3 linked regions of the Arabidopsis thaliana genome follow. The protein of the gene in region 2 interacts with the protein of the main gene of each other region in a pairwise test. Each region holds a gene or a part of one and is shown on either strand. Other genes may lie near its edges.

Evidence for each region.
Region 1: the proteins of MYB50 (region 2) and ARF9 interact in a two-hybrid assay, tested with the Arabidopsis thaliana proteins (one large-scale study listed by BioGRID).
Region 3: the proteins of MYB50 (region 2) and AT1G61660 interact in a two-hybrid assay, tested with the Arabidopsis thaliana proteins (one large-scale study listed by BioGRID).

What each region holds. Positions count from the first base shown.
Region 1 is NC_003075.7:12,447,504-12,459,328, reverse strand, and holds ARF9 (auxin response factor 9), read right to left. Parts: upstream 8,187-11,825; 5' UTR 7,738-8,186; coding exon 7,722-7,737; intron 7,631-7,721; coding exon 7,524-7,630; intron 7,444-7,523; coding exon 7,345-7,443; intron 7,169-7,344; coding exon 7,112-7,168; intron 7,022-7,111; coding exon 6,866-7,021; intron 6,783-6,865; coding exon 6,698-6,782; intron 6,613-6,697; coding exon 6,522-6,612; intron 6,433-6,521; coding exon 6,268-6,432; intron 6,186-6,267; coding exon 6,072-6,185; intron 5,993-6,071; coding exon 5,920-5,992; intron 5,837-5,919; coding exon 5,689-5,836; intron 5,610-5,688; coding exon 5,140-5,609; intron 5,009-5,139; coding exon 4,821-5,008; intron 4,740-4,820; coding exon 4,592-4,739; 3' UTR 3,960-4,591; downstream 1-3,959. Other genes in the region: CSLG3 (cellulose synthase like G3), read right to left, coding at 279-722, 804-932, 1,089-1,238, 2,197-2,838.
Region 2 is NC_003070.9:21,311,656-21,320,642, forward strand, and holds MYB50 (myb domain protein 50), read left to right. Parts: upstream 1-5,091; 5' UTR 5,092-5,195; coding exon 5,196-5,328; intron 5,329-5,416; coding exon 5,417-5,546; intron 5,547-5,622; coding exon 5,623-6,304; 3' UTR 6,305-6,537; downstream 6,538-8,987. Other genes in the region: AT1G57550 (Low temperature and salt responsive protein family), read right to left, coding at 886-969, 1,080-1,154; AT1G57565 (SWI-SNF-related chromatin binding protein), read left to right, coding at 7,980-8,558.
Region 3 is NC_003070.9:22,750,109-22,760,457, reverse strand, and holds AT1G61660 (basic helix-loop-helix (bHLH) DNA-binding superfamily protein), read left to right. Parts: upstream 1-4,086; 5' UTR 4,087-4,286; coding exon 4,287-4,609; intron 4,610-4,729; coding exon 4,730-5,138; intron 5,139-5,234; coding exon 5,235-5,342; intron 5,343-5,428; coding exon 5,429-5,494; coding exon of another isoform or gene 5,495-5,578; exon of another isoform or gene 5,579-5,623; coding exon 5,624-5,689; intron 5,690-5,783; coding exon 5,784-5,837; coding exon of another isoform or gene 5,838-5,855; exon of another isoform or gene 5,856-5,936; coding exon 5,937-6,088; coding exon of another isoform or gene 6,089-6,092; exon of another isoform or gene 6,093-6,451; coding exon 6,452-6,455; 3' UTR 6,456-6,847; downstream 6,848-10,349.

The sequences.
Region 1 (11,825 bases), on a different chromosome or scaffold from region 2:
GGTTCATAAACTTTCAACTCAAAATCAATTAAAAATGAGCGGATCTAGATCATGTCACTTCTATATCACTGGTACCATATTAACTTTTATGGATTTTCTATCGATAACCTATCGTTAGTGTTTTACCAAAAAAAAACCCTATCGTTAGTGGATTTGTGTATGTCACTTATATATATTAGTTAGGTCCATTTTCCTTTAGATATAGTTTTCATGAAAAAATATAACAAATGGAAATCAATACTAGATAAAGGTACGAGCTAGGGTTGGTTATATCTTACCTTTGATCCCCAATTGGTGTTAAGCTCGTAGATACATCCTGCTACACGGTGAGCCAATGCTAAAACATCTTGAGCATTGATAGGCTTATCTACAATACGATTGGGCTTAAGTTCATCTATCTCAGGCAAAATTAAATTAGATGGAGCTCCATAAAAACCTCGTCGATTGAAGAAACAACCAGTTCCCACATGATTCGGGCCCATTAAACCATCAAACCCAATCATATTGATCTCAAAGAGACGCTTATACGCGCATGCATATATATCGTTCTTGCTTATTCCTTGAAATGTTTGAGGAAACTGCACAAACCCTAAACCAGTTTTGATTTTAGGGTCTGTTAAATAGCACAGGGCACGAACTGGTGTTGCTGGATCGTTGGAATACATATCACAGTCTAGTGTTAGAATGATCGGTGAATTCGTCATCACTCCAGACACTCGTAGCTATAATAAAAAGAAAATACGGAATTAACTAAAATTAAACGAAACCAAAAACTAATTATAGATAGGTTTTTTAGTTGATACCAAGGTATTAAGAGCACCGGCTTTGAAATGATGTGATGAAACTTTACTCTTCTCTCTTGAAACGTAGATTAGGTTTGGCATTATATATTTTTTGGTATCGTCCATATCATTCTCACTATTTTGTAGCACCTGTCCTTAAATAAATGTTAGTTGAGATTTTGTCAAGACAAAAGAATTAACATATGGCAAGGTATAATTGTCTAGTAAATATATTCAAAATGCAATTTTCTTATGATATATAGTAGTGAGAAAACAATATTTGAACTTTTTTTTTCTTTAAATTACCTGAATAATTGTGGGATGGTCATGACGAGTGAATTTGTCGGTCCACAAATCGAATACCCCACGAAATTGATCGCATGTGATAAATGCAGTCTCAACTTTTCCACTCTCCACCACATGTTCTACTCTACTCTTCATGTCTTCGTACATCATCTGTTACACGGTGAAACAATTATACACCACACAATTTATTTATTTTTCTCTTGTATAGTTTTTTTTTTTTGACAGCTCTCTTGTATAGTTTATTACGATTTATTTATAACACTGGTTGAAAATATCTTACTACTTGTGACAACTTTGTTTACTACATGTAATAATAACATAGAAGTATTACTAAATTTTAGTGTACTATTGAGTTCTCATACACTTTTTACTTTTACTATTTTTTTAGACGACCAATTTGTCCTTTTTATCATAGAGATATTTTATTGAAATTGACAATATTTGGTCAGTCTCTCCATTTTCTATGGATATGTCAACCAGTTTTGCCATAAAATATCTTTTTTTTTTCTGAACAAGTCTTTCCATTTTGTTTTAGAGGTTCAACTTTAAAATTACTGTTTAATATTTAATTCATAATTGATGATATATCAAGGAAATGCTTACAGTAATGGTGGGCAGGAAATATCCAATTCAAGTTTACTTTACTTATGCGCAATCATGGATAACTGAAAATTCAAACAAAGAAAAACTTCTATCATTTAGATTACTAATACTCCTATAGTCGTATATATTTTTGGGAGAAATTGTTGTAGGTCACTACGACGAGTCACAGTCTTCCAAAGTATTAGGTCATAAAAGAACAAGATTGCCACTATCGTCGAAAAGAGATACGATAAGGTTCTGAAGTGACTTCTTCAACACAACAATCGCTCCCCATTGATTTAGCAAATAATTATTTTTTCTGTTTGTAGTTTTGTACTCATTTTATTTTTTATTTGTCATTATTAATTACTCCTTCCACGAAAAATATAAATGTTTTTTTGTCCAAATTTTTTTATTAAACATGTTATTCCCCACTATTCAACGTAACCAAAATGAATGACAATTTTAACATTCGATAAAAAAAAAAACATTCCTAATTATAAGTGATTAGTAGAATAATACGCACCTTGATATTTTCAGCTTCATCACTCCGAGAACGTAACTTTGATGAGAAATAAACTTCAGGAGACCGATCTTGAACATTATTCTTCTTGCAAAAAGGCAACCAATGCTTAGAGAACTTAGCTGCCTCCATAAGAGCAAACAAAGTCAACGACGAACCTCCATCGTCCGATACGTAGACTGAGATCTTATCGGACGGATACTCGTAAGCCATCACCGATAAGGCAGTGTTGACCACCATCATCGGAGGCTCCTTGTACGGATCAGCCGTGCATATAAACACGTCCAGTTTCGGGAAGTCCTCCGGTTCAGCTGCATATTTCTCAGGGTACTCGGTCCGGCGAACCGGTTTATACCGGAGGGAAGTTGTGGTTGCCCACATGAAGGCGAGAACAATATCGGAGAGGAGAAGGAGAGACGTGATTAGAGTTGTGTTTGCTGTGAGAAGTGAGTGTACATGGTGATACATGAGGGCTATGATGCCACACGTGTGAAATACGGCGTAGATTCTATATGGAATGGTGCGCCGGCAAGGATGACACGTGTGGAGGGTTGTGTCGCCGACCGAGTGTTTTCTGTGAGGCTCCATCGTGGTACTCTTTATTTTTAATAGAAAGACAAATTGTTTTAGAGAAACTTGGTACATAGAACAAAACTCACCATTGATATTGATATTTTATAGGCGATTTTTTTTTCCAGAGTAGACATTCTACACCTCGATTTTAGGTTGGAAAAGTAAATCACTGAATAGTGCTATAAGTTTTTAAAATAAGTAATTACATCTATGCAATTTAAATACAATGTATACTTCCGTCACTAGAATATTACTTAAAATTTAATAAGTTCAAATTTAACATATTAAAATAATTTATAACAAGTTGTTTATCAAATATATAATAAAACAAAGTTATTTATTAGTAAAATGAGTTTACTATTATTCGGTATACACACATACATATAAATTCCTGATATAGATACTGACTGTATGTATAAGTTGGTATTTGGTGAGCTTTTAATGGTACAATTAAATTTAAACTTCTCTATATATGGAAAGAAAAAAAGAAAAAAAAGAAGAGGAAAAGATAGGGATTGTGAGATCCACTGCCTTCACAAATCTCGGCAATAAATAACCTACATCATCACTTCATTATCTCGGCAGTAAATAACGTCATTAACTATGAACGGTATCGACGTATTAGTAAAGAGATTCGTATAGGTGTATTTATGTGGTACGTATATAAATATTGGACCGTCAGAAAATATAGATATTTGGACCAAGCAACCAGATATGCACGATTTTTTTTCCCCAAATGATACACTAATTAAAATTAGATTGAACTTATATGTTGGATAATCATTATCTAATCTTTCGTATGTGGGATTTAGAATAATATCCTAACATTTTCTACACACTTGTCATAATCAAAGAAATACTATATGTACATATTATAAAGACAAACTTCACAATTTATAATCTCACCAGATCAGCATGTGTTATACTATGTTGACATATTGTAGTTGTTTTGCAGCGAGAATGGTTGTACACGACATATTGGACTAATCCAAGTAATATGCATAACCCAAATGATATCTAAAGAGAAAAATAACTCTTTTTTCCTTTGCAGCATTCGATATTTTAATGCATGTGAGTGAATAGTGATATAAGGGAATGATACACTTTACAAACATAAGGGGATCCAGAAGTAGTAGCGAAAAGGTGGTCCATACTTCATACAATTACGTTTGTGAATATGGTGGCAAGAGCGGCCACATACATGTCCTCACAGACAAAACATCAATAATCTTGAATCATTGTTAAGGTTAGTGGGAAAACCTGAAATAGTTTTAGGTCTAGAGTTTTGTTTATTTAACATTTTAAATATTGATAATATATGTACCTTTGGGGATTTGACAAATACAAGAAAGCCATGTTTGAAATTTTATATATACATTAAAACTTAGATGAAAAACAAAATCAAAGAAAACACAACTACGAAAAAGAATCAGAAAACACGAGAGCCATGAGGTATAATCCCTCTTTAATCTCTTATAATCCCAGAGTCCCAAAAGTCCTTCATCAAGTTATTCACAAATCTCATTCTCTTTTTTTTTTTTTTTTTTTTTTTTTCTTTCTGTTCGTTACATATTTGTTTCTCTTACACACAAGTTCCTAGAAGAAAAAGAAACTTCCAAAAGCCTATTTTAAAAGTAGAAAACCCTCTCCCCATAAACCCCCTTTCTCCATAAGAGGCTCCAAAAAAACGAGCCATTTTTTTTGCCTCAGGGGATGTAGTTTCTTGTTTAAGCCATGCGCAACAAAACACAGACACAAACAAGATAATTCCGAAAGACAAAGCAAATAAGAAGGAGACGAAGACTGATAGAGAATAGAATAAAAATTAGTTGGAATGATTATCTGTTTTGGAAGTTGTTGTTAGTGTTGTTTCAACTTCCCTTAACAGCATCCGGAGTTGGTTCCCAGGCGTCATTTTCTTCACTTCCTCTTTCGACCATATGAATATTCTCTTCACCATGTTGCAGAACTCACTGCACCACCAAATTAAGTCAACAGATATGAGTTTTGTGTAGTGATTCTATTGACTAAGAGATAAAGAGTAAGTTACTTACGGCCATGGGTCATCACCGACAAGCATCATATCTCCCTCATCGTCTGTGAACACTATTTCCCATTGATTGCGACTCCGCAGTTCCCCTTTTATGTCAAACAGCTTCTCAATGTCATCTATGAGCTCGTTGTACCCCTTTAGCGCATTTAAATCCACAGCCCTGCCCACAGGTACGCCTTGCATCTGCACCTGTTCAGCGATAAAGAATTCAGGATCCTGTTCAGTCCCGCAAACATTATACATAATGTGTATCTGTTTTGCAACTCACAGATTACACAATGTATATACACTTCACGGTAGCCATGTAGGCATATATATACCTTGGTACGGCTTCTTGTAGAACTGCTTTGCTTGCTTTGGACCTCTTTTGGTGATCCCTCCGCAGGTTCCTGCTTTTTCTCTTCTGATACTTTTGAAATCTCTGATTTTGGGTCTGAGTGGCTGTCCATAGTCGGTTTGGATATGTTGATTGGTCGCATGGGTGCAGTTTTCTCCTCAGGAACCGCTAGGGAGGAACTCATCAGATCAATTCCAAATAATCTATAATTAGCGGTTGTCTCAGGCTTCTTCTGCTCGACTGGGGAAACCATTTGGTCGTTCAGTGTTGAGTCTTTTGCTACATTTGACACAGAGTAAGAGTTATTTAGCCAGTCAGATTTCTTAGCATCCTCATTTGCATCACGATGACATTGCTGAGGAGAACTCCACTGTGAGGTGATGCACGATTGTGCAAACTCATGGGGTTGCGTCAAAACAGAGCTCCAAAGGTTTGAAGCTGTTATGCCTACATCTAAACACAGCATGTGAGATTTAGCAAGGAAACTTAAGCTATGTACTAGCAAATCAGTGGCGGTTAGATTGTGCCTCACCAAGTGCAGATACTTCACTAACTTGACGGGGCCTTTTGTTCTTCAGCATAACTGATTTGGGAACGTTTTCTGAATTTACAAACGGTTCAATTTCCCATGGTGAAACCTTATTGGGTCTTGAAATCGATGCAGGCTCATCCCAATGAACCTACACAAACATGTAGCAAACTGATTGAGTTTTCACACTTAATAAACACTTTAAAAAACATGTAAAAGTGGAAGGAATTTTACTTCTAAGCATCGCCATTTTGAGTCTTTCCAGTGAGGGGAGCAGTCTTTCACACCAATAACCGTGCCAGAATATCTTTGTAAAGAAATAGATGTGTGAGAATAGCTTTGGGGACAAAGTGCAGGATACATAACAAAGAAAAAATTCAGACTACCTTCTTTCAGGGGAATCCTCTCCCTCAAAACGCATCTTAAATCTCATCCCTACAGAGAACTTATTGCTCATGGCTTCTAGATATTTGTTCAAGCTAATGATGAATTGGCTTGTCCTGCTCAAACCGAGAGTAATTCGATAAGCAGAATGTCGAAAAAACTCACCTCAGATATTCCCATAGAGTAATAACTGTCTACCTTGGTTTATAGTATACAATGAACATAGTTTTCGTTTGAGTAGCATGGCGTGCAGTAGCAAGCACTCCCAGATGCATACTATGACTTGATATAACGGATGAAGGCATACTGCTCTGTTGAAGATTAGCACGTCTGACTCCAACTCGCAACTCTCCGTTCTCCCCTCTGGAAAATATAATATAGCTTGGAAGTTCAAAATCTACCAATGGACCATCAAAAGAAACAAAACAAGGTAGCAGCGTGAAGTATAATACCTCAGGAATACAAAGGTGTCCCCAGCAACCAATCTCTTTGATGTAACAAAGGTGCTCCACCCTGTCGTCAATAGATGCCTCCGTGGTTGGCCTGTTTAATGAATTATCATTCATTTTATACAATTATCATGGATACATAAAGTTTGATCTGAGTTAACAAGAAATGGATTCACCACCTCTAAAAATATGCTTGAATTTCCACTGATAACCGTGCACATCTTCGGCTACTAACTCCTGGGTCGGGGTTTGCTGAGTCATATCCTAAAGGATAAGAACATAAGAAATTCATATCAAAGGCCATTTTGGTGGGAAACAAAGCACAAATAGTAAGCGTGTCCTAATACCAGCGGAGGAAGACATTCCGTGGCATGTTTCCTTAGAACAGAAAAGCCACCATGGGTGCTTGTATCAGACGCTGTCAAAACCTTGCTGAAAGAGTGAACTTTCGGCCTTTGCAACTCAGGAGGAGAGGGATCAGGACTCATAGGTTCATCAACTTCCTACAGTTTACATTTAGAGATCCACTAAACATTGAATTTAAGGAAGTTGCAACAACAAAAACAATCAAGTGATCTAATTGTGTCACTCACAGTTCCAACAGGGATCAAAGTAATCTGAGCATAGACCTCATCCGTATCTTTCTCCGCCTGACAAGAACAGAAATGAAGAAATCAAACAAGATCCAGAACTTCCACTCATATTTAGTCTAATCATTTCCAGCTTCTTCATAGATTTTCTACAATATCCATCTATATATATTGCTTTAACTAATGGACGACACATCATCAGATAAATTCGGTTTTGCTAAATGTGGAAAGTATACCTGAAGACTAACGTTCATAACATTGCAGAGAATCTTAGGAGGAAGAACAAAAAGAGGCTTCATCGTATTTAAGTCGACTTGTTGCGTTGACGCTTCGAGCTGAACCACCAAAAATAGAAATGTTTCATTAAAAAAAATCTTTCTCAAAATTTCACCGATCTAAAAGAGAAGCTGCTTACTTGTTCCATGTGACCTTGAGGAAAATAATAAACTCTTTCTTGAGCTTGAGGAACATCAACAAGAGGTCCCGCGCATAATTTCCATAACTCATCGTACAGATATTCACCTGTTTCACCACACAATGTACACCGGTTAATTTCGCCGGTAATGTCGCCGGAAAATTGAAGAAAAAAACAAAACTCCGGTCAATTTCTCACCTCCGCGATTTGCCATCAGCTGATTAAATCTTCTATCAGTCACACCAAAACACACAGTCTCTCTATCTCTCTCCGATGAAGAACCGGAAGCTGAAACAGTCGAAAATAAAAGAAGGGTGCGTAATAAAGTGAGGAATTAAATTGAAGAAGAAGGTCCCTTGGATTCCGTCTCCACGTTTTCTTGTTCTCTAATGCATGTAAGTAACGATCGAGAGAGATCTGAATCGTAACGCAACGCAATCCTTCCTGCTCTGTAACTGTAACCTCTCTAATTTCTCTCCCGTAAAACCAGCTTCTATCGTCTTCGTCTCCCAAACAAAGAAGACTAAACTCTTTTTTTTTGTCTCTCTTCGTCACTATAATCGTCAAACAACGCCGTTACAAGAAAGAATCTCTCACTCGCTTCTCTCCCGTCTTTAAGTTAACACCTCCGTTTGCTTTTATCTCCGTTTCACTCTCTCTTTTTTCAATACTTTTATTTTTAATAAATTGATTTTATATGTATGTCTAAAATTGGACACCTTTTCGTATATAATAATACGCTATACATTAATTGTATAACCAATTGTAAATTCCTTACTATACTTTCTAAGACATGTTGTTATCCAGACAGTACCAAATTTCTAGGAAATAGCTTGATTTGAAGAAAGTAGAAAGTTATTTTGAAATTAAATGTATTGTTTATAAAAAAATATATGATAGAAATGCTTAGCACAACAATAATTGTTTTCCTCAATTTTTGTTTGATTAAATAAAAAAAGAGCTAGCAAAAAAAAAAGCGTAGCTTTGCTTCTCTATTTAAACCAAAAATCAGTTTTAATTTTACAAAAAAAAAAAAAACTTTAATTTCAAATTTATTTGGTTTATGTTTTAATACACTTTGATATTTTAGTCAAAAACAAATAAATAATGGGTCTATGATAAACACCTTTATACTGTATAATATAGAAAATAATTGGTTGTTTTACACTGTACTAATTGAAAGAGACTTTGTAAGTTATAATTATAAATAGCTTTTTACTTTTTTTCTATACGTACTAAACAATTAAATGCAATTGCGTTAGTGGATGAAGGAATTAGTATTAGTTACTGGATAAATCATAAATGTGTTGGCTTTTAAGGCTGGTACGGAGCGTGAGGGCGCGTGCCGTTGTCGTTACGGTAACAAAAGTCGATCAAGAGACATTAAACAGTAACACCCGTCATCGTTAAGAGTCCGTCACTTTTACCGTTTGCTCTTATGCAGGCAACAATACTGGCTAGACTTGGATTAGAGACGAAGCAGCTTTGACCTCCTTCTTTGGATAAATTACATTTCTACCACTAAATGGTGGGACTAACATAAGCATGTGGGAAGTGTTTCCATCTCTGATTTTTGTTCTTTTCACCTTTTGCAAGAACTTTTTTCCAACTCCACATTTTACTAATTAGAAACATCAAAATTTATTTGAGTCATGATATATGTTGATCGTTGCCAAACAAATATTATCCGGAAAAATTACTTAAATACTTAGAAAAAAATGTTTTGATTAAATGTTTTTTTTTTAGAATTTTGAACATTAATATACGTGAAATCTTTTGAACCGTTAAAAAATGATCGATGATGGATAAATAAGTAGATGTTATAAATAAGCGATTAATATCACTTATAACATCAAGATTAAGTTTCCTAAAAATCTTATGATACTCAAATTGAAGGAACTCAAAAAGTATGACAAGCGACAAACGAAAAACACTAAATAAATCTATTTTACTAATTTAACCAAGATATGTAATATAATAATTTTTGTTAGTATAGTTATGTTTACCATATAAATTCAAATCCTTATAATGTAGATATACATATATGTTGGGTTAGTTATTTATTTTAGTTTTTTTATATGATAAGATTATAACTCCCAAATATTTATTTCAATACAAAATTTAACATAATAATTTTATTTCCTAAACATTTGTACCATCACTAGTAGTGTAGTGCATGGATTTTCGTATAGTAAACTAAGTGCGATCTTTAGATGATCAATAAATTTAAATTTCTGCATCAAAATCGTATATTTGCTGTAGTCATTTGGCAATGAATAATGCCAAACTTTTTAATAAATAATAAGCAAAATATAAAGATGAAAAAGCCTATACTCCATAGTCCATATATTTATATACCAATTAACTAATTACTTTATCGTTTAGTTCTAATTAATTATGTTTAGTATATTACTAATTATGACAGAAAACGTCACGTATGACGTATTTTTGACAATTTCTGTTCCCTTTAAGGATATAAATAAGCAAGATGCCTTAAAACCCACCACCACCATCTCCGGATCTTCTCTTTCTCAATTTAGACTATTTTAATCGTATTTATTTTAGTAATAAATTGGTATCTTGTCCCCCGTATATTCCCCAGAGCTTGTTCAAACGAATCTCAACTGTAATATAGAATTTTCGTGTCCACTTAGAAAGCATTCATTCCCATATATATCTCCCACATGTTTGGTCTCAAATGAGTTCAATCATTTACTGATTTTTAGTCAATTTAGTGGTACTAATTCTAAGAATCTCAATTGTTCATCTATTTTTAACCCAATAGTCAATCGGCATACCACTTCTTCAAGCCCTTATCGAATTCACTCGCTCATGTAGTCATGTGTTTTGTAGAGATTTTTAAGTAATATCTTCTTTCTTGTTTGATTTAATTGGCTAATATTTTTTTGGGGGAAACTAAAGGTATAACTATTGCAAGAACATTGACTTGATGATTATGTATGTGTGTTTTTTTCTCTAAAAACATTGACATTGACTTGGTGATTCATGAGCAAGAAGGTAATTTCGTGATTAACAAGGTAATGAATCTTCTATTAAAATAGTAGGTTACTGATTCCCTGCTTCTTGATGGCGTATTCCCTGTTTTCACCTCTGTATAAAAACATACGTCACAGAAAGTTACTCATATTTGACAGCAAAAATCTAGAAGCAATGAATATGTTCATTTAAAAAAAAAAAATATGATATGTTCAGAAAAAAACTTTCATCTTAAATTTGCTTTAGTTTGTTAGGTCATGTGTTCGATATTCTTGATTCTTGAATTTACTATTTTACATATCGAGGATTAGTGATCAGTAAACAACATTTTTTAGGTCTATACTATCAAATCCTGGCTTTGATTTAAGCTAGGTATATATCACAAGCTATAATTAATATATATATATATATATATATACACATGTTTTATACACACAGAGAGGACAATATATATGTATATATATGATACAAGAGTTAATGGTAATGTTTTTGTGGAACGTGTGTTTCAAATAAATACGAGACGTTGCGAGTTTCTCCAAATGCGTTTCTGTTGCCAACATGTCCACGAGTTTTTTCGTGATTTATCTTCTTATATATCCAAAAATTTACTTCAAACCACATTATTTAGCAACGAGTTTTGTTATTATTATTATCATTCAAAAATCTCGGAAAATCTTTGTATAGTTCGAAATCTAAGAAATGGGTTATAAATGTCCTATAAGTGGCTACGGAAAAGGAATGATAAGTAGGCTTTTACGTACATCTACACATAAAACCCACAGAGGTCGATAGTGGGAAAGATAATTAGGGTTTAAACATTTATAACTTGGCTTTTAGAGTTCTATTATAAATCATAAAATGGTACAAAAAGGAGAGAAACTTCCAATCAATGTAAGGATTTGTGTGAATGATTATCTTTACACTGCTCATTATTGAAATGGATGGAAATAGAGTTTTGTATAAATAGCTTTATTGCTTGACACCTGTCTGTTAACATAATGGACTATACTTTATACTATGTATATGCTCGTGTGTGTGTTTATTTAACTTATATTTCTAATCAAAGAGTCCCTTAACCCCCTCTTAAGAGTCAAGGGTCACATTTGGAAATTATTAAATAATTAAAATGGTACTTAATAGTAGTATATGATACTGATAATGTAGTTGAACAAGTCATCTTGCCGTGAAATGTTTAGTAATTTAGTAAATGAGGATTCTAAGATGCGTAAAATAAAACATGAATAAGACCTATAAACAATAATTAAATAAGTATCTATACGTGTGAACAACAACACTCTAACTATA
Region 2 (8,987 bases):
GAATTAATTAAAAGGTTTTTTTTTCGTTAATTAGTACGAACTAATTAAAAGTTAGTGTAAAGTAGATTCGAGGTTTCACCGAGGTACACTTAGAGAGTTAGAGGGGATTGCAAAAAACCTTAATTGACAGCATTAACAATGGATTAATAGACGCATCTATTATCGGAATTTACACCGATATCTTGGATATTTAAGGTTAGAAAATAATATTTTTCTCATTCGAATCGTTGTTGTAACCAAGTAGCTCATAATTTTTTTCATTATGGGAGAGCATTGACTATACCAATTGATCCTCTTTGGTAAGATGGGACGATTTCAATAGATTTTGTTTACATTTTTTGCTTACCACTTTGAGGTAAAGAATTTGTATATGCAGGGATTATTGGGAACGTCTTCATGGGAGCCTATACCACACGGTATTCGATTCAAGCAATCTTCAAATCGGAATTGCAGAAGCTATATAAAATTATAAATGTATGTACACAGGTTTATATTTATCGTTATACGCATAAGTAAACTGTGTGTATCGATGACTCCATGTAATATCTCTATCAGAACTTTATAGTTCCTAATGGTACTAATAATTTGATCACTCTTTAGATGTAGTATTACTACAATTCAAAATTTATATCACGCATATAATAATATCATCAATCTTCCAAATCTGTTTATGATCCGTAAAATGTATCCATAACCTCTGCAAACTAGAACAACAGCAATTTGGAAACTGCTGGAATTTACATACATCTAACATAGCAAAAAGTTTGCTAGATTACAAAACTGATTCCTTAAATACAACATAAAAAATCTAAAAAAGCAAACATTGTTGGAAAAAGAAAAAGTTATAAAATAAAAAAAGGATCCAGTGTTTTTGATTGGTTATTCCTACTTGGTGAGAACGTAGATGGCATATATCAGTCCGGGGATAAAAGCGAATAACGTTAGAAGCAAACAGACCCAAAACTCCAACTGCAAACACATATACAAAGAAACAAAAAAACAAGAGATTTGATCTTACTTTGACCATTAATGTCAAATGTGTCATATATTTTTATGATTTATGAATGAAAAAAATTTACCCCAAGGCCATATCTGAGGAACACACCAACAGGAGGTATGAAGATTGCACAAAGAACCTCAAGGAAGCTACCCATTTTTTTCTTCTGTAATTTTATGTTTTTTTTATATGTTTTTTTATGTTTTTTTTTGTTTTTCTGTTTCTTAGTTTTGAACTTTGTTTTATTTCTTCTTACGTGTTCATTTCCATTTATGAACTTTGTAAAAGAACAAGAAAATAGAATTAGTGGTTACGTTAAATAAGGGAAGAAACTGAGTTTGATTGTGTAACGTCCTCTGCTTGTTCCTAAAATGAAGGAGCTCCACTTCAACACAAACAACACAACCCTTTGCGTTTTGACGCAACCTTCCGTTGTTCATCGGTTGGAAACAAAAAAATGGGATGAACACAAATAAGAAGTCGAATAACTTAAAAATAAAATGTTTTGTTTTTGGGCAAAGAAATTAAAATGTTACAATCATAATGTCTGTTACAAAAATAAAATTAAATTTCATGGATTACAAATATATATAGGCCATTAGTTTGTATTAGTATCATCTTATGTAGATAAAATGTTTGCTTTTAACTCAAGTGTAAACATAATTTTTAGTGATTTTTATCAAGTTTTTTTTCTTTTACTCAAGTTTTTTTTCCAAACATGTAAATATTCAATTATGTAAGTTTTAATCTACTTAACTTATCTATATTTGTTAGTTTAGCTTAGAACAAGTAAATCTAACTTGCTATCACTTATCGACTCCACATATTTAGTCGGGTGTAATAACTTAGAGACCCATTAGTCAAAACTAATTTAAAAATGAAATTTCGTAAACTCGGTTCTTTCATATTAGATAATCTATTAAGATATATTTTTTTAATTTAATTACGTGGTTGACAAAAATGGATAATAAAAAAAAAAGTTTAACCAAAACTAATTATCAAAGATTAATATAATTGTCACAAAACATCAAATAAAATAAATTTTGCATAGGTAGTTGAAAGAAATTAAATCTCATCTATAAAGTTTAATATATACGAGGGAAATAATATATGAGATGCGTGTTAATTAAGTGAACAGCTTAATGTTTTCCATTTGTCGGTGAATGATGTTAAAGTTTTGTGGTAGTGATAATGACAACGATCCTTCATGTAATCTATATAACTTTTATTCAGTTCAAAATATTAAATCTCTAGTTTCTTTATATATTAATTTAATCGTCCTCAGATTTTATTGGTTCTGTCAATCTTATGACAAAGACAAACGAAAAGGACAGTGATGATTAGCTTATAAATTACATATAATATAACGAGTTATTGAACAATTGACTTGAGAGGACAGCTCATATATTCATAGCATCTCTATTTGACCATTCCAATGCAATGCATGTTAAGCATGGCAACTATTCGTTCGTCTTCAGCAATATAACTTTTTGATATGTAGGGCTTTTTTATAACTTAATTCTACCTTTTTGTTTGACAAAAAATGCGATGAAAAAATCGTAAATAGTACATATTTCCATGTGATTGTTAAACTTGTATAATAACCGTAATATTACGTGAAATAAGTGAATAACATTTATCAAGTAAACTCGTTAATAAAAAAACATATATGAACAAGTTAAATAACACCATACCATTTAACGACATGCATAAAATCCACATTATGATTTTATCGTCTACGTTTTATAGAATTTAGTTATGTACAATTATACATATATCGGCCAAAGGGTTGGTCTTTAAATACTTGGAATTCTATGTAAACATGTAAAATTGCACAACTGTTTCACGGGGAGTGTCGCTATACAAATCTGACCCTCGCCTTTTTTTACGACAATGATATCTTGGATTTACACAGATTATTGAAACGCCCACATAAATCAATAAATACAACAATGTTGAGCTATGTGGACATGAAACTGTCGGGTACACGCTTCACCAACTTAAAACAGAGATTTTGATACACTCAACATAAAAGTATATGTTGAGTGTATCAAAATCTCTGTTTTATCAAGTTTAGTTCAATATCAAGTGTTGCTCGGTCTAGTAGCAAATAAACTAGGGTCATCCTAGAGCCCTCTAGTTTAAGTTTCATTTGTGAAGCGGTGAATTCACTCACTTTGGTTTATGAAAATCTACGGAGTTTGGTTCCAAACTTTGCGGATATAAAAAAAAAATGGCCAATATAACATCCACTAATATTTTGATATCTTCAATTATTAAAACAGTTTACAGTATCAATTAAGTAGTGTTTTTTTTTCCTATATACACAACTAGTTAAATTGCAAAGACTTAAATTTAAAAGTAGTTTTGACTAAAGTTCGTATGACATTTTTACTTACATGGTAGCTGCAAAACAAACTTGCATAACCAATACAAAAGGAATTGAGATTCGAAATGAAAAGCCAAAATAATTAATTATCATCTCCTAATATTAAAGTACAAATATATATAACATGGATAACACCACAAATTACCATCTAGGTTTATGTTAGAAACCATAATTCCACCCTCAGAAAAATAGTTATGAAGTTCATTATAAGAATCCTTTTGAACAGTGAAAAAAGTAAAGCAAAGTTTTTGCTCCATAAACCAAAAATATTATAATTGCATGCATCATTCGAATCTAATCAAAATCAATACCTCAAAATCCGACCTTCTTCATATAATGGAAGGCTTACGGCGGATCATTGTCATGCTAATTATGATATGATTGATGAAGAGGATGATGATTTTTTTTGGGAGGAAATAATATTAGTATATAGCATAATATTTTTTTCAATAACGTGTTGTTCGACTTAATTTAATAGTATAAGCAAAAGATACTCGTTAAAAGCTTGTATGTCTGCAATTTCGATTCGAAAGTCTTTTCAATGAATTATATGATTTTCCAATATAATTCAATCATTTGATGAATTTTTAATCCGAAGTACCTTAAAGGCAGCTTCGTTATTACATGATTTCATACAATAGAATCAAGTAGCCCTATTTTTTTATTGTGTTTGATTATGAGATATGTCTTGTCGATCTTTATTTTAACCAACATAATTTTTTTGTTAACCGATTAACCAACATAAATTGTCTAGCTACTTCATGCTTCTTGGTGGTTCCTGCATCAAGAGATTCCCTCGTCAAATGCTCAATTATTTAAAATGAAAAAAAAAAATTATAACGAAGAATAAAGAAAAAATCCATAAACAACTTATAACCAAAAGAAATAAAGTTTGAAACAATTGTATTTCAACCGCCATCTCAAGGTACAAGTTCAAGTACAATATATTTCTCACTCTAATTAATTAACATGCCCGGTCAAAAAAAAAATCAAATTTAGAGAAATCTTTTGAATGAAATTTTTTAGAATTATAATTTATGAAATAGATCATTGTTTTTATCATCATAAATCTCTTCAAAACTAAATAAACATAAGTTCAAAGTTTAAACATTCCAAACATTAACCATCATCACAAGTCTCGTTGAAACTAATAAGCCTCAAACCAGCCATAGGTATCGATAAAAGTTTTTCGAAAATCAACTCTTTAGTCGATTTCTTAGGGCGGTATGAGTAATCTAAACCCAATCGAAAAGAGAAAAATTTGCATAGTCGACTACAATCAATTAGGTGACATGAAAGGTTGTCAAAACGAGAAGTCCAATCAATATACAACGCATTTTTCATTTTCTCATAGGTTTAGTCAAAATGACCCAAACTAGTTACCTTCGAATAGCACCTATAGTTAAAATTTAAACCTAATTGAATAAAGTATAATGAAATTGAAAACAAGATTAGTTTCTATAGATTCCACACCCACACACGAAAAAAAGAAAAGACACGAGTCTCATGACTTATACATGAGTAGTCTTTGGTCCCAGCTAAGCACATCATATTGTCTCTTTTCTCTGAAAGTTAAATACAGAAAAAGAAAACATAAAATTCAACAAAAGTCTTCTTATGAAAGTGACTTTGTTTCCTTTTTCTTTTTTTTCGTCGGTTCCATAGCCTCTCTATTTATGTATTAGTCTCTGCACATCTCTTACTTCATTTTCTCAACCTTTTTCACAATCCATTAATCTTTCTCTTTCATCAATACATTACCAAGAAACCAGAGTTTTTCTTCATTGTTCTTTTCCACAGCATTGCAACATGAAGAGACATTCTTGTTGTTACAAACAAAAGCTGAGAAAAGGTCTTTGGTCTCCTGAAGAAGATGAGAAACTTCTCAATTACATTACCAAACATGGCCATGGTTGCTGGAGTTCTGTCCCTAAACTCGCAGGTAAAACTCTCTCTTCTCCGAAAAAGGCCTAAAATTGTGTTTTTGTTCCTTAAGTCATTTACAGAACCAGAGTTGTATGATTCTATAGGTCTCGAGAGATGTGGAAAGAGCTGTAGACTCAGATGGATCAATTACTTAAGACCTGATTTAAAGAGAGGAGCTTTCTCTTCAGAGGAACAGAATCTCATTGTCGAGCTTCATGCTGTTCTTGGAAACAGGTAACAATCACAATTACAATTATTCTCTGTTTCTGAAACAGAGTATTTTCTGAAATCCCCTGTTATCTTGTATCAGATGGTCGCAAATTGCTGCGAGGCTTCCCGGGAGAACCGACAACGAGATAAAGAACTTGTGGAATTCGTGCATTAAGAAGAAGCTGATGAAGAAAGGCATTGACCCTATTACACATAAACCCCTCTCCGAGGTTGGTAAAGAAACAAACAGAAGCGACAATAACAATTCCACAAGTTTTTCCTCAGAAACTAATCAAGACTTGTTTGTCAAGAAAACGTCTGATTTTGCCGAGTATTCTGCGTTTCAGAAAGAAGAATCCAACTCTGTTTCACTCAGAAATTCGCTCTCTTCCATGATCCCAACGCAATTCAACATCGACGATGGTTCTGTCTCAAATGCGGGTTTTGATACACAAGTATGCGTGAAACCCTCGATTATTCTTCTTCCTCCTCCAAACAACACTTCAAGCACTGTCTCTGGACAGGATCATGTAAACGTGTCAGAGCCTAATTGGGAATCAAACAGTGGAACCACAAGCCACCTCAACAATCCCGGTATGGAAGAAATGAAATGGTCCGAGGAGTACCTAAACGAATCGTTATTCTCTACCCAAGTTTACGTGAAATCAGAGACGGATTTCAACTCCAACATTGCCTTTCCTTGGAGCCAAAGCCAAGCTTGTGACGTATTCCCCAAGGATCTTCAGAGAATGGCCTTCTCTTTTGGTGGTCAGACCCTTTAGTTTCTTTTTCTTATCAGATTTAGACATATTGATACGTGTAATGAATGGATCAAATGTTCTATTTGGCCATACGTTAAAAAAATAAAAAAGCACAATCCTTTCCTGAAAATGTGTCATATAGAACATTTTGCTCAGATTCATCAATATACGTCTGTAAATTTTTAGTTTGGTATCGAAATAAGTTTCGTGCAATCCTTTTGTTGAAAAGAATCATGATGCTGTCGACAAATCAATAGTCATTTACACCAAACAAAAATCAAAAGTCATATATTTTCTGAATATATGAAAGGAGAAAAAAGAATACAAATGCAGGCATTACTTATTTAAGAAACCTATTTCCTAGAACACAGTGTGGTCCAAAGTCACATCTTTCACCATTATTCAGACTTCAGACCCTATATTCAGTTAAAAGACAAAAACAAAAGATAGAGAAAACGACTATTTCAAATCACTAAACAAAAAAAATTCGAAAATCTATTAAATTATATAAACATTAAAATTACTGTAAGTAATACCCCCGATCCTTTAAATATCTGTGATTTAAAGAAGCCACTAAACAATAAGTGTTACTTTAAGTCAAAAACATATTTCTAATGAAATCTCTACGACTTTTAATTAAACTCAAACATAGTTCTACGATCTTGCATTTGTTATTACATGCAAATAAATATTTATATTCTCCTTTTTTCTATCTTGAATAACATTCTAATTGTTTTAAATTTAAAATATTTTTATTAGAGGTTCCAATTAATTAATTTTCTTACATTTACATTATAAGTACTATATTTAGAAATCCTATTAAAAACCAATCACATTATTCCTACTTTTCTGACACTTATTCGTTTTCTTATAATTTAGTCATGAATCTTTTGCCCTTCAATATTCATTTATTTCACAATCTATTGAAATTTAATTATAGATTGCAATATGCATATAATTTGATTGATAATTAACTAAATTTTCTTTTTATTAATTGCAAATCTTTGCCCAATCTGTTTCCTTAATTACGTCTATAAATGCATCATTACAAAAACCCACCGAAAATAACATCAAAAGAAGTAAGCAAAAGCAAAAGTCCTAATTTCTCCTGTCATGGACACCTTACCTCATCATCTCCTCGACGAGATTCTCTTCAGAATAGACCACAGATCTCTGGCCATGATACAATGCACAAATAGATCTCTTCAATCTCATATACCCAAAACCCCTAACTTTGCATCCGAATACTTTTCTCGGGTCAGATCAAGTTTGCTATACATAGCATTCAATGGCTCCCCTTTGCTCTGCTACCACCTTTACGGTGATTCTAGGTCACCGCGAACAGTAGAAGCCTTGACGGAGTGTCACATTTTAGGCTATTGCTCTGGCCTTCTTCTACTCTTCCTCAATAAAAATCTCTGCGTCGCAAATCCTCTCACAAAGAAGTTTCGTTTTTTTAATCACTCTAGGTCAAAGTTTTTTCCCTTGGGTTACTACTCTACGACGAGGTCGTCAACAAGTCATCGGGTTCTCTGTAGATCAGATTGATCGAACAACCAATAGTTTTAAAATCGTCATCATAAACGAGGTGAGAAACAGCAATGAGACAACATATGAGTTTGAGATTAACGTAGGCTATTCATGGAAACTATCGGAAACGACGTTAACTTGCTGCACAAGTAATCTTGATGACCGTATGAAAAAACCTGTTTATATGAAGGGAGGTCTTCACTGGCTAAGAAATGACGGAGCTATCGTAGCTTTCAACCCTGAAACAGAGAAAGCACGACTGATCTCGATCAGATTCCCCAAAGAACTTTGTTCTAAAACGTTGTTCACAGCCGCAGATAACAATTTAATCTTGATATCGGCGACGGAAGAAGTCTTTTACGTTTATGCAGTAGAGAACATTCTTACTGATCCCAAGTGGGTCGTCTTGAAGCAAATCCGGAACGGGGTACTGGACGAGAAGATGCTATATAGTTGGTACCCGGAGGCTTACGATGGAAAGTGTTTAATGCTGAGGGAGATATTGAAGAAGGACCATTACAAGCAAGTGCTTCATGGGTACGACCTGAGAGCTAATAAGTGGGAAGTCATAGGTTCGATTCCAGGGTGGTACACTTCAGCTCTAGACTTTTATCAGTTTACACCGTCTTTGTCTTCGGTAATAGGACCTGATGCCAAGGAGGAGGAAGAAATATTGGCTTGTGATCATAAAAAAATCTCCTCTATAAACTCAATTATTAGAATGCTTGATGGAATCTCATCCTAGAAAAATGGAATAGCAGCTTAGAAAAAGATTGGTTGAAGAAGAAACAAAACTAATGTTGTTGAAGAAGATGAAGCTTTTCGTCCAAGGTTTTTTTTTGTATTGTTCATGCCAAAAAAAGAGTAGAGACTGTAGAGTAGCAATCCGTACCATTTTTGGAACATGTATCTTTTGGTTAATGAAAATGTGTGTTTTATGTTTGTTTTTCTTTTCGCTAACCAAACGCTAAACTGATGTTATTGAACTGGAAAACTAAAATATATATCTTACTATGTTTTGCATCACTAATTCCATCGTGAAACTTCTTACTATGTTTTTGCACTTGGTTAATAGTAAAAACATAACTTTGGTAATCAATTCAATGTTAATATTTTAAGTTTGTAGCATATTCCTCTGACTGGATCAGTATATTCATAATAGAATTATACACAT
Region 3 (10,349 bases), 1.4 Mb from region 2:
TGACCGTCATTGCTACAAGGAATACAATTTCGTTTCTTTATTCATGGAGCTCACTACCCCACGTGTCTGTCACGGCCATGATGATTTTTTCCGATCGTATCATCATCGTTCTGTAATCGTGCAAAAAAAAAAAGCTTCGTTTTTGTAGTTTTCTGCATTTCATCCTTACGTCAGTATGACATATATCCTACATAGTATGAGATAATGAGATATATAATATTACGATCAATAAAAATTTGATAGATAAATAAAAATAGAAATACAACTGATATGTAAAATCGGATGTAGAAATGGCATGTCATGAGAGAAATATGCGTTACGCTTGTATTCTTCGACTGTTATTCTTCAGTGACTTTCATTTCAACCAATAAAAATAAAACAAAACATTATTTGTGTTCTAATATCTTTTGCATGTTAAAAGCCTCATAATAATATTTTATAGTTTATGTATGAGATAGCAAATTATCTGTATAATTGACAATTAATGGTTCGAAGTTTTTATCCGCACCATCACTAAAAAATTACGTAACTATACAAGTTTTAACACATCTCGCCATGATATACACTCTTTAGTAACAGTATTAATTGAATTCCAATATTACTTGGGTTTTTTTGTTGGTTTATATATATCAATATATCGAATATTTATATCAATTTTAATGATTATAGTATATTTTAATATGAGGTATTCCTTTTAAATTTCGATATGTTTAGTTTGTTTAAAAAATTAAGGCTGAGTTTGTTGCAAAAGAGATTAGTACGTATGTTGTTGACATAATTTGTTATATGGGACATTTTGAGAATTTGATTCATATAATACTAGGACTCTTTTTAGATAACTTAATTATTTATTAGTTTTCGAACTTATGTGAACTACATGAAAATAATAATTACATATGAGCTCCCGTGAGTCCCAAAAACAGCATTACGTTACTTACGTGTAAAAAGAATGTTATCATAAACATAAAAACAAAGAAACATGTGCTTTTCCAAATACAAAACAAAAAATTGTTAGGACATATGATGATTTGATTTTGGGGTTTGAAGAAAAGAATGAGTCGCTGACACTTATCCGACTATCTGCGCCAAACAAAGTCTCCACTCATATTTGCCGTGTGGGTCCTATTTTTTGACTACTTGTCGTTTTCCTTCACCTACTTTAAATTTTATACATGTTCATATTGCTTCTAATCGTATATACGTGTCTATATCACTTTATATACGTATATAGCAATACGTATTTTGGAGCAATTCTTCGTCAACTAAGTTTTTTTCATACAACGAGTGCATGAATCTCATTGTTCGTGATCAAGTTTTACTCCAACATCCGAAAGTGTTCGTATACTTGCATTGTGAAAAGCGGTATATTTCAAAACTAGTCGTTGATTCAACTATATATGTTGCCACCATGAATATACTAAACAGAAAATGGAAGAAAGCTGAATAAGATTGGGGACTATAAAATTTAGCATATGTGTCCGATAATAATAAAATCCAAATATCGACCGACAAGAGCTTAGAGGAGTGTCGGTGTACATATCGATGGGATCGACCAGACCGTTAGAGAAAACAACCGATGGGCTGACAAAGATTCTTCGGATTTAACTTATGTTGTCATACGGTGGCTGTGACACATTCTTTTGACGTTCATTTCATAACTTTTATTTTATCGATATCAACCTAAACGAAACAAGTGTTTTCATAAATAAATAAAAAGTTAGTCACGTTGCAATAATGAATTATTATTTTTTTCATTTTTGGCGGAGTGGACTGGTGGGCTTAAGCAAATTGATCAAATTTGTTTTGACACTTTCTTAGTTTATATTAAAATTAATTTTAATTGCACGATGAAAACTTACTAGTCAGTCGCATGGATCTGACCTAACTGTCTCTGTATTTCAGTGCTTCAAAGCTCTTTTAAGTTTTAAGTCAAAATGCATTGTGTCGCATAGAGAGACCATTAAGAAAAAAATTCAATTAGTTCTTAATTAATATTTTAATAATAATTAGATAAATTGGGGCCTTTATAGTCTTCATTTGTCCTCAATAGCCATTATCCAATAAAATATTACCAGTTTCATTTGATATTTTTGTGTCATATTTTTACCATTTAAGACTTTTCACAATTCGAATAGCCATGAACAATAAAAATCTACGAGTTTCATTTGATATTTTTTTTTTTTTGCCGAATACATTTAAGACTTTCACTTCTACTAACCATGAACAATGGTCTCCCAATTACAAAATATATTTTTGAATCATTGGACTACCATAAATGATTAGTGTCTTTTTTGTATTACATGTAACGTAAAAATACCATTCTTCAAGCATTCATAACAATTTTTTTTTTGTCAAGATACATAACGTAAATTTGAATTTCGTAATAACGATACTAGCACAATTTAGCTTAGAATATGTCCAATTTTTTTTTTTATTTTGAAAGGAGATAGATATATAAATATTATATACATGGATATCGGTGAAATTATGTTTATTATCTATGCCTATCGTTTGATAAAACTTGTATATTTTATGGACGGTGACACAGCCCGGTTCACTATGCCTCGAGCCGTATAATGATCATAAAGAACAGAACTGGTTACTATTATCAGGTTCAACAAATCCATTTTTTGATATTTTGTGTGGCTATCAGTCTATCACATAAAATGGAAAAAGAATTAAGAGAAAGAAGAAAAACAAAACAATGACTTGTAATTAAAGTGCAATAATTGATTGACTTATCAAATTTATTAGAAGAATAAAATATTTACGGAATTTAGAAAAAGCTAGTTGAAAAGAATAAGGACCGTTTGGTATAAAGAGATTGTGAAAAAAGTCACAAACACAATAGGTCCAGAAACGGTGACGTGACACACAGATCGAAACTCAGCATCGATCGACGATCGTCATCATATACCATTTATCCCTTTAGCCTCAAGCCACAAGAACAAATCTTATTTTATAGTACTATTTTTAACCGAAAGAATCCGATCGACAATGAAATAAATATCGAACTCATATCAAGTGCTAACTCTAGGTTTTGCCATTAATTTTGCGTTTTCCAATCGAGCTAAAAACAATTGATCGTCTATTAAAAAAATAAAAATTCCTATGATCGCTTTTTCGATCTAAAACTAATTTTTAGTAATAGTAATACCTGTTAAAGTATAAATATCCCTCCCAAGTACTGAAAACTCAAACCTGAACGAGCTAGCCTAGGACTCAACTTTTATCTCGAAAGAATCTTTGAATATTACTTTTGAAAATAAGTGAGTCTAATCCTTGAAGATATATGTTTTAAAGTTTTTTTTAGCAAATGCGATTGAGAAAACATATATTTTAACTTCAAGATAATCATTACTGTATGAAAGTATGGATAATTAATTAGAAGAAACGTTGTTCAAAAATTGGTTAGTCGTTTATAATTACCAAAATAATAAAACAATTATTAATACGCTTGCATAGACTAATTAGTTTTTTTTTTTCCTAAGCTTACTAAAGTGATCTGATAAAAATCATGTATGGAAGCATGAAAGTAATAAAAAAATATCAAGTTTCAAAATTTTAGTCTTTCATATTTATGTACATTTATATATATACGCATGCGTAGACTATAATCAGTCATTTTCGTGTTTTGTCTATACAATTACTAAAAACTGATTTAATCAAAATCGTGATATGTTTTCTATTTCTGACCACTTAATATAAACGATCGATTTGTAGAATTTGATGGCAACCAATCAAAGGTTACCGTTAGATATAATGTCTATATATAAATAGTATCCCCTTTTGGCATCTTGCATAATAGTACCAAACACCTATCTAATCTCAAATTAAATATTTAAATATTTATAAAATGAGGATCATTATCACTTCTTCGAAAAGCTAAGCAGCAAAGAAACAAATCTCACAAAGACAGTTGTTCTTATAATAATAGAAGAAAATTGAGGGATTAGGAACACTATTATTACAACATCTTTCTGTCAAATAAAATATTTAGCTTAAGGAAAAAATTTAAAATCAAGATTATTTAATTAAAAAAATCACATAGGAATGTTATGATGATATAAGTTTTTGTCTTCAAATGTCAACTAAATTCCGGTAATTTCCACACACTTGTCCGTACTTGCCTATATAAACATACACACCCTCATAAACATATATCAAAATTTTACACTTATGCTCTTCATATCACATACAACAAACTCATATATATAAAAACTTTAACCTTCGTATAGCAACGATCTAGTAGAAAGCTTATACTAAAACTTTCTGATTCTCTTAATATGGCGGAGGAGTTTAAAGCTACGGCATCGATTTGTGGTGGCGGAGGTGGCGCGTGGTGGAACTCGCCAAGGAGCGTTATGTCTCCTTCGGATCATTTCTTGTCACCATGCTTCGGAGCGGCTATCACTTCCAATGATTTTAGCTCGCAAGAGAATCATCTCAAATCTAGGATGACTTGTACGGACAACAACAACATCGTTTTCGGGCAGCGAGAGGCGGATTCTGACAGTGGAGGAAGTACCGTGACGATGGACTCGACGTTGCAGATGATGGGTCTAGGGTTTTCCTCAAATTGTTCTTCAGATTGGAACCAAACCATTTTGTAAACTTCTTAAAGAAAAACCCTAACTTAATTTTTTTTGTTCACTTTCTTGATGAACAAGATTGAAGATTTTTAATAATAATCATGAGATCTCTTTTGTTCTTGTTTTGTATTTTTCAGACAAGAAGACTTAAACTCAAGCTTCATAAGGAGCTCACAAGATCAAGATCATGGCCAAGGATTCTTATCCACAACTACTTCACCTTATATACTTAATCCAGCTTGTTCTTCATCTCCATCAACTTCTTCGTCCTCAAGCTTGATACGAACCTTTTACGATCCCGAACCAAGTCCATACAACTTTGTCTCCACCACAAGTGGTTCAATCAACGATCCTCAACTTTCTTGGGCTAATAAGACAAATCCTCATCATCAAGTAGCTTATGGACTAATTAACAGCTTCTCTAACAACGCAAACTCTCGACCCTTTTGGAATTCTTCATCAACCACTAACTTAAACAACACGACGCCGAGCAATTTTGTAACCACTCCGCAGATAATATCTACTCGTTTGGAGGACAAAACCAAGGTAAATTATCTCATATATGTCAAAATAATTTTGCTACTATATAAGTTTTGTGGCTATATTATTGAATTTATTTATTTATTTATTTTTGTTGAGAAGAATCTGAAGACAAGAGCTCAGAGTGAGTCTTTGAAGAGAGCAAAGGATAATGAATCTGCGGCGAAGAAACCGAGAGTCACCACGCCTTCACCGTTGCCAACTTTCAAGGTACATGATCATATTTCAAGATTTGTTTAAGACCTTTTATTTTAATTCAATTTCTTGGTGGATAAAATGGATTGTATATGTAACAGGTGAGAAAAGAGAATCTAAGGGACCAGATAACTTCATTACAACAACTAGTTTCACCTTTCGGAAAGGTGAATGATTTATGTGTTTACTTTATTTTATATGGCTTAATATATACAACCAAAAGCATTTATTTTCCCTTGGTTATGTATTGAGCTTCTTAGTTTGTTTATTTTGTATATCTTTGGGTTAAACTTCAGACAGATACTGCATCTGTTCTCCAAGAAGCTATAGAGTACATCAAGTTCCTTCACGACCAAGTCACTGTACGTTTCTTGTGATTTCTCTCCTAACTCACTGAATTCATAAAACCCTAGAAATGAGCAAATTTTTAAGCATATTAATGTTTTTTAAATACAGGTTCTAAGCACTCCATACATGAAACAAGGTGCCTCGAACCAACAACAACAGCAGGTTCAATACACGATCTAGTGTTTTAGTTTTGTCCAAGTTGGAGTCTTCGTGCTATAATCATGGTTAAATAAGTACTAATTTCAGTATGGATTCATGTAGATATCTGGTAAATCGAAGAGTCAAGATGAAAATGAGAATCACGAACTAAGAGGACATGGTCTATGTCTCGTCCCAATATCAAGCACGTTTCCGGTGGCTAACGAAACAACAGCCGATTTTTGGACACCAACGTTTGGGGGCAACAATTTCAGGTAGAGAAGGTGAATTACGTATATCATACGGTTCTTAATTAGCATTAAGATATTATTTAATAATGCTTAGCATAAAAATAAAAGAAAATAAAATTCACAAGTCATGATCAAAGATTGAATCATTACTTGGAGAAAAAGTAGAGATGGGAGAAGAAGAAGGTGACTCTTCAAAGGTGGGCAGAGGCAACAATAGTGTTGGAGGGGACCAACTACGAAAGCAAGAATGATTTAGGGCTTAGAAAATTTGGGATAATAATCTATCATAAACTAATAGATAGATATATTTTTAAAAACATTAACTTACATACTCTCATGTTATATATGTAATAATTAACCTAAATTTCACTTTTTAATTATATATAGGTGATTAAAGAGAGAGGGTTGTGGTTGTCAAGACGGATGGGAACATATGCTAAATTCAGCTTGGAGACTCTAAAGCATAACAATAATTTTTAATGTATTTTCTTCTTCTTTCAATATTTTAAGGGGGGTTTATTGCTGAATTTAGCATATATGGGTTGTTTTTATGTTGAATAACCTTTTGTTCCTGTCATTGTTCTTGAATATATATATATACATATTTTTGTCGTTGGTAACATCTTTGTTAATCACTTATTAAAGTTAGAGAACATAATAATTGGTGGTTTGTCATATGAAGTTCTTTGTTGTTTTTATAGAGTTGTTTTTTTCATGTTTAATCATAAATTTTAATTTTAACAATCACAAAACCAACACTTATAACCTAATTGTTTGTGATAGTGCCGTTACTCTTACATAGTTACATTTATGTCCAAACTTGCAAACTTGCACATTTTCTGGATACATGCATGTATTTATGTTCGTACATATCCATGTATAAATATGTGTCCATATGGATTCAACTTTTTGTTGGTTCGATTAAGAACTATATATTATGGAAATTCAGTAGTGGAAGCCAGTAGAATAGCGGCCCACACTGCTTCCTACTTTATGATTTGAATATACATATATGATTTTAGTATAGATACCGATAAATATATACTGATTTGCATTCAACATCATTTATGTTTACAGAAAAAAGATTATTCATATGTTACTATAAAGACATATATGTGTGTCTAATCTATCAAATGCCACTCAAAAATATATGCAATGCAAGAACAGAATTCTTACCTTAGATCTCAATATCGATAAAATACTCAACAAGTCCCATGCATGATTAGTACGTATTTATTATTAAAAAACAAAATCTCAAATTATGCCCTATTGGAAATTAATGTTGGTTTTCTCCAAAGTACAAACAAATTAAAAGAACATAGCATGGAGTCAGGATTCAAGATTCTAAAAAGTGAAAATGGAGTTAAGGTCGAAAGTGAACGTATGGAACGGTGAATCTACACATTCAAATATGGTTCTCGGAACCATAAATTAAAGAAGTACTAGGCTTGATTACCACAACATGTCTCTGGCCATTGGAAAGAGATCATTCCGCGACTAAAGGAGAACCGGCAAATGTTTGTTTATGAATGTTTTTCATGTTGCAACTAAGATTATCGTCGTTGATAGAGAGAAGTTAAGATTTGGTTGCAACTCATATTCGGCTATATCCTTTGTCTCAGGATCAACAAAAGTTACCGTCCTACGTAGATTTTTTGGATTCATGAGGTGCTTCGGCTCTTGTCATTGGTTTAATATGTAACTTGGATTCATGTAAATTTAAGTTGCTAAGTTTGTGAATCTAGTGACATCGGTCCCTCTTCTAGTCTTCTTAAATCTTAACCAATAAATTACAGAAAATGGTCGATTACAACTATATATGTGGTGGCTCATATAAATTTTTCGTACCTAACAAATAACAATCTTCGACATAAACAACATATAACTAGTCTAAAATATTGGATATTATATGAGAAAGATAGCATAAACTTGAGTACATTTCAAATCAAATTTAACTTCTACCTGAAAATTCGATTCACTAGTTTCAACTGTAGATCGATTAGAATCAATGTTGTAATAGAGTTTGACAAAATATGCCATGCGCCAAAAGAAAGGAGGATCATGTATAATGTAATATGAATATAAAAGGCAAAAGAAAACATTATGAGCATAAATTTTTAGTCTTTTAGATGTACAATAAAGGACGAACAAGTTTCATCTTTTTTGCTTTATGTGAATACAACAAGTTCTTAATATCTTCAGCTATAAGCTTCGTTTGATTGAAGCTTAAAAGCCTTATTCCTTTTTCTATAAATAAATCACATTGATTCTAATATTGTTTAAGTTTCCGAGTATCACAAAGACACACGGCTTATTTTCCTCCAAAGAGTTTATATATTCTCTACTATCATGAATCAAAATATATCCGTTTTATATTGATATCCTTTATATATTGATATCATTTACAGATTTTCTTTTGAAAATCTTTTACGTGAAGGTTTTTTTCCATAAAACATTCGAATGAAATTGCTCATATAGTTTATGAAGTTTGTTAATTGTTCCCAATATATTTAGAATCACAGAAGTAACCTTTAAATTGTGACATAGTGTTACAAAGATAACATTGGTAAAATTACTTTATTTTTGGCTTTTTTTTTATATGAACGGTAAAATAAAATTATCTATTTAAACTAGAACTGTACGGTTTTCTTTGGAAAAAAATCAGTCCAAAATAAAAGAGCTTACATGAAAAAGATAAAACCTCGTGCTATTGCCTTTTTTGCAAGACAATCAGCACGTATATTGTTTATAAGAGTCCTCTTTTTAAATGCTAGTCATCATGCATGGGATTAACTATATATCAACTTTCTCTTATGTTACATCATTTTTAGGTGTATTAGAAGGAATACAAATCAGAAGAAGATACTTGGGAGCCGTATGATGGATTGGGGTAAGGTTTTTTAAATTACTGCTTTGGCCTTCTCATGTTGTCCTCTAATCTGTATATGGTTTCATTAGAAAATACAAATAAAAACTTAAGGAATTCGTAACGAAGGGTTTCAAGTCAAATTTATTGCCACTTCTTGTAAGCTAAGTCATGTTAATTACACATGTAAATCCTCCAAATATTTCTTGTTCCCCACTTTTCGTAACTTTTCGACCTTGTGTCGTTCTTTTAGGAATATGTGCATCTTGTATGTGGGGGTCTTCCATGCCAGGGACTTAGTGGTTTTACACCGATTTAGAAATAAAGATAAACCACTTCAAGATGAAAAAAAACAATGAAGTGACGGTTTCATGAATATCATAGACTATACTTGAAGCCCAAATACGTCTTGATGGAGAACGTTGTAAATCTTTTAGGTTTCATGGAAAGATTTGTTGGTCGTTATGTTGTAGCTCGTCTTGTAAACAAGAATTACCAAGCAAGATGAGGCATAATGGCTGCTGGTGCATACAATGTTCCTCAATGTAGGTACATGGTGTATTAGTATCGGTAGATTAAGGATCCCAAATCAATTCATGAAGAGGAAATGAGGACTAAGGGAAGAAAGGCTAGAGTTTGGGAGAAGATGAAGATTGTGGAAAGTGGCATGTTGTTGCTGTTCCAGTCGGGATTGCCTTAGGATACATGTTTGGGATGGCGAGTCAAAGGTTGTGTGATGATAAACCTGTCATAGACTACCCTTTCATGTATCCCTGAATGTCTTAAGAGAAAGGTAGATTCTGATAGATTAAAGATCCCAATTCAGTTCATGAAAAGGAAATTGAGGACTAAGGGGAGAAAGCCGAGAGTCTGTGAGAAGAAGAAAATTATGGAAAGTGGCTAAGTGTCGAGTAAAGGAGTATTGAAGAAACCTCTTCCTGAGCTAGAGGATTTTTTCTTCTTATTATCTTCCTTTAGAGGATTCCAAAACAACTGTTGTGATCTCATCTCTTAATAACTTCTTCATTGTTTATCTTGCTTTGACTTGGATTTATATTAGGATTTAGGACTGTTTATTTTTTTTCTTTTAAATGATTTCATTAATAACTCTAAATTATCTGCTAGGTTTCATGATACTATGGGGATCCTCAGCTTTTGTTAGATAGGTTTGAGGAACTTAGTGAAGAAAGTACACATCTTGAATTATGGGTGGATACTAAGAATTAAATTATGAATTTCGTATTTATTAGATTAGTTGCTGAGGACGAATTATTGTTGGAGTGACTAATACTTGACGAAATCTTGATGCACTCTATTCTTTCCTTTTTATTTGCTCTACTTCAACATGAAGACTAAAACTATCAAAAGAGAGTTTAGATCCATGGAAATATGGAATGGATGTATTTAGGGATGGTAGAG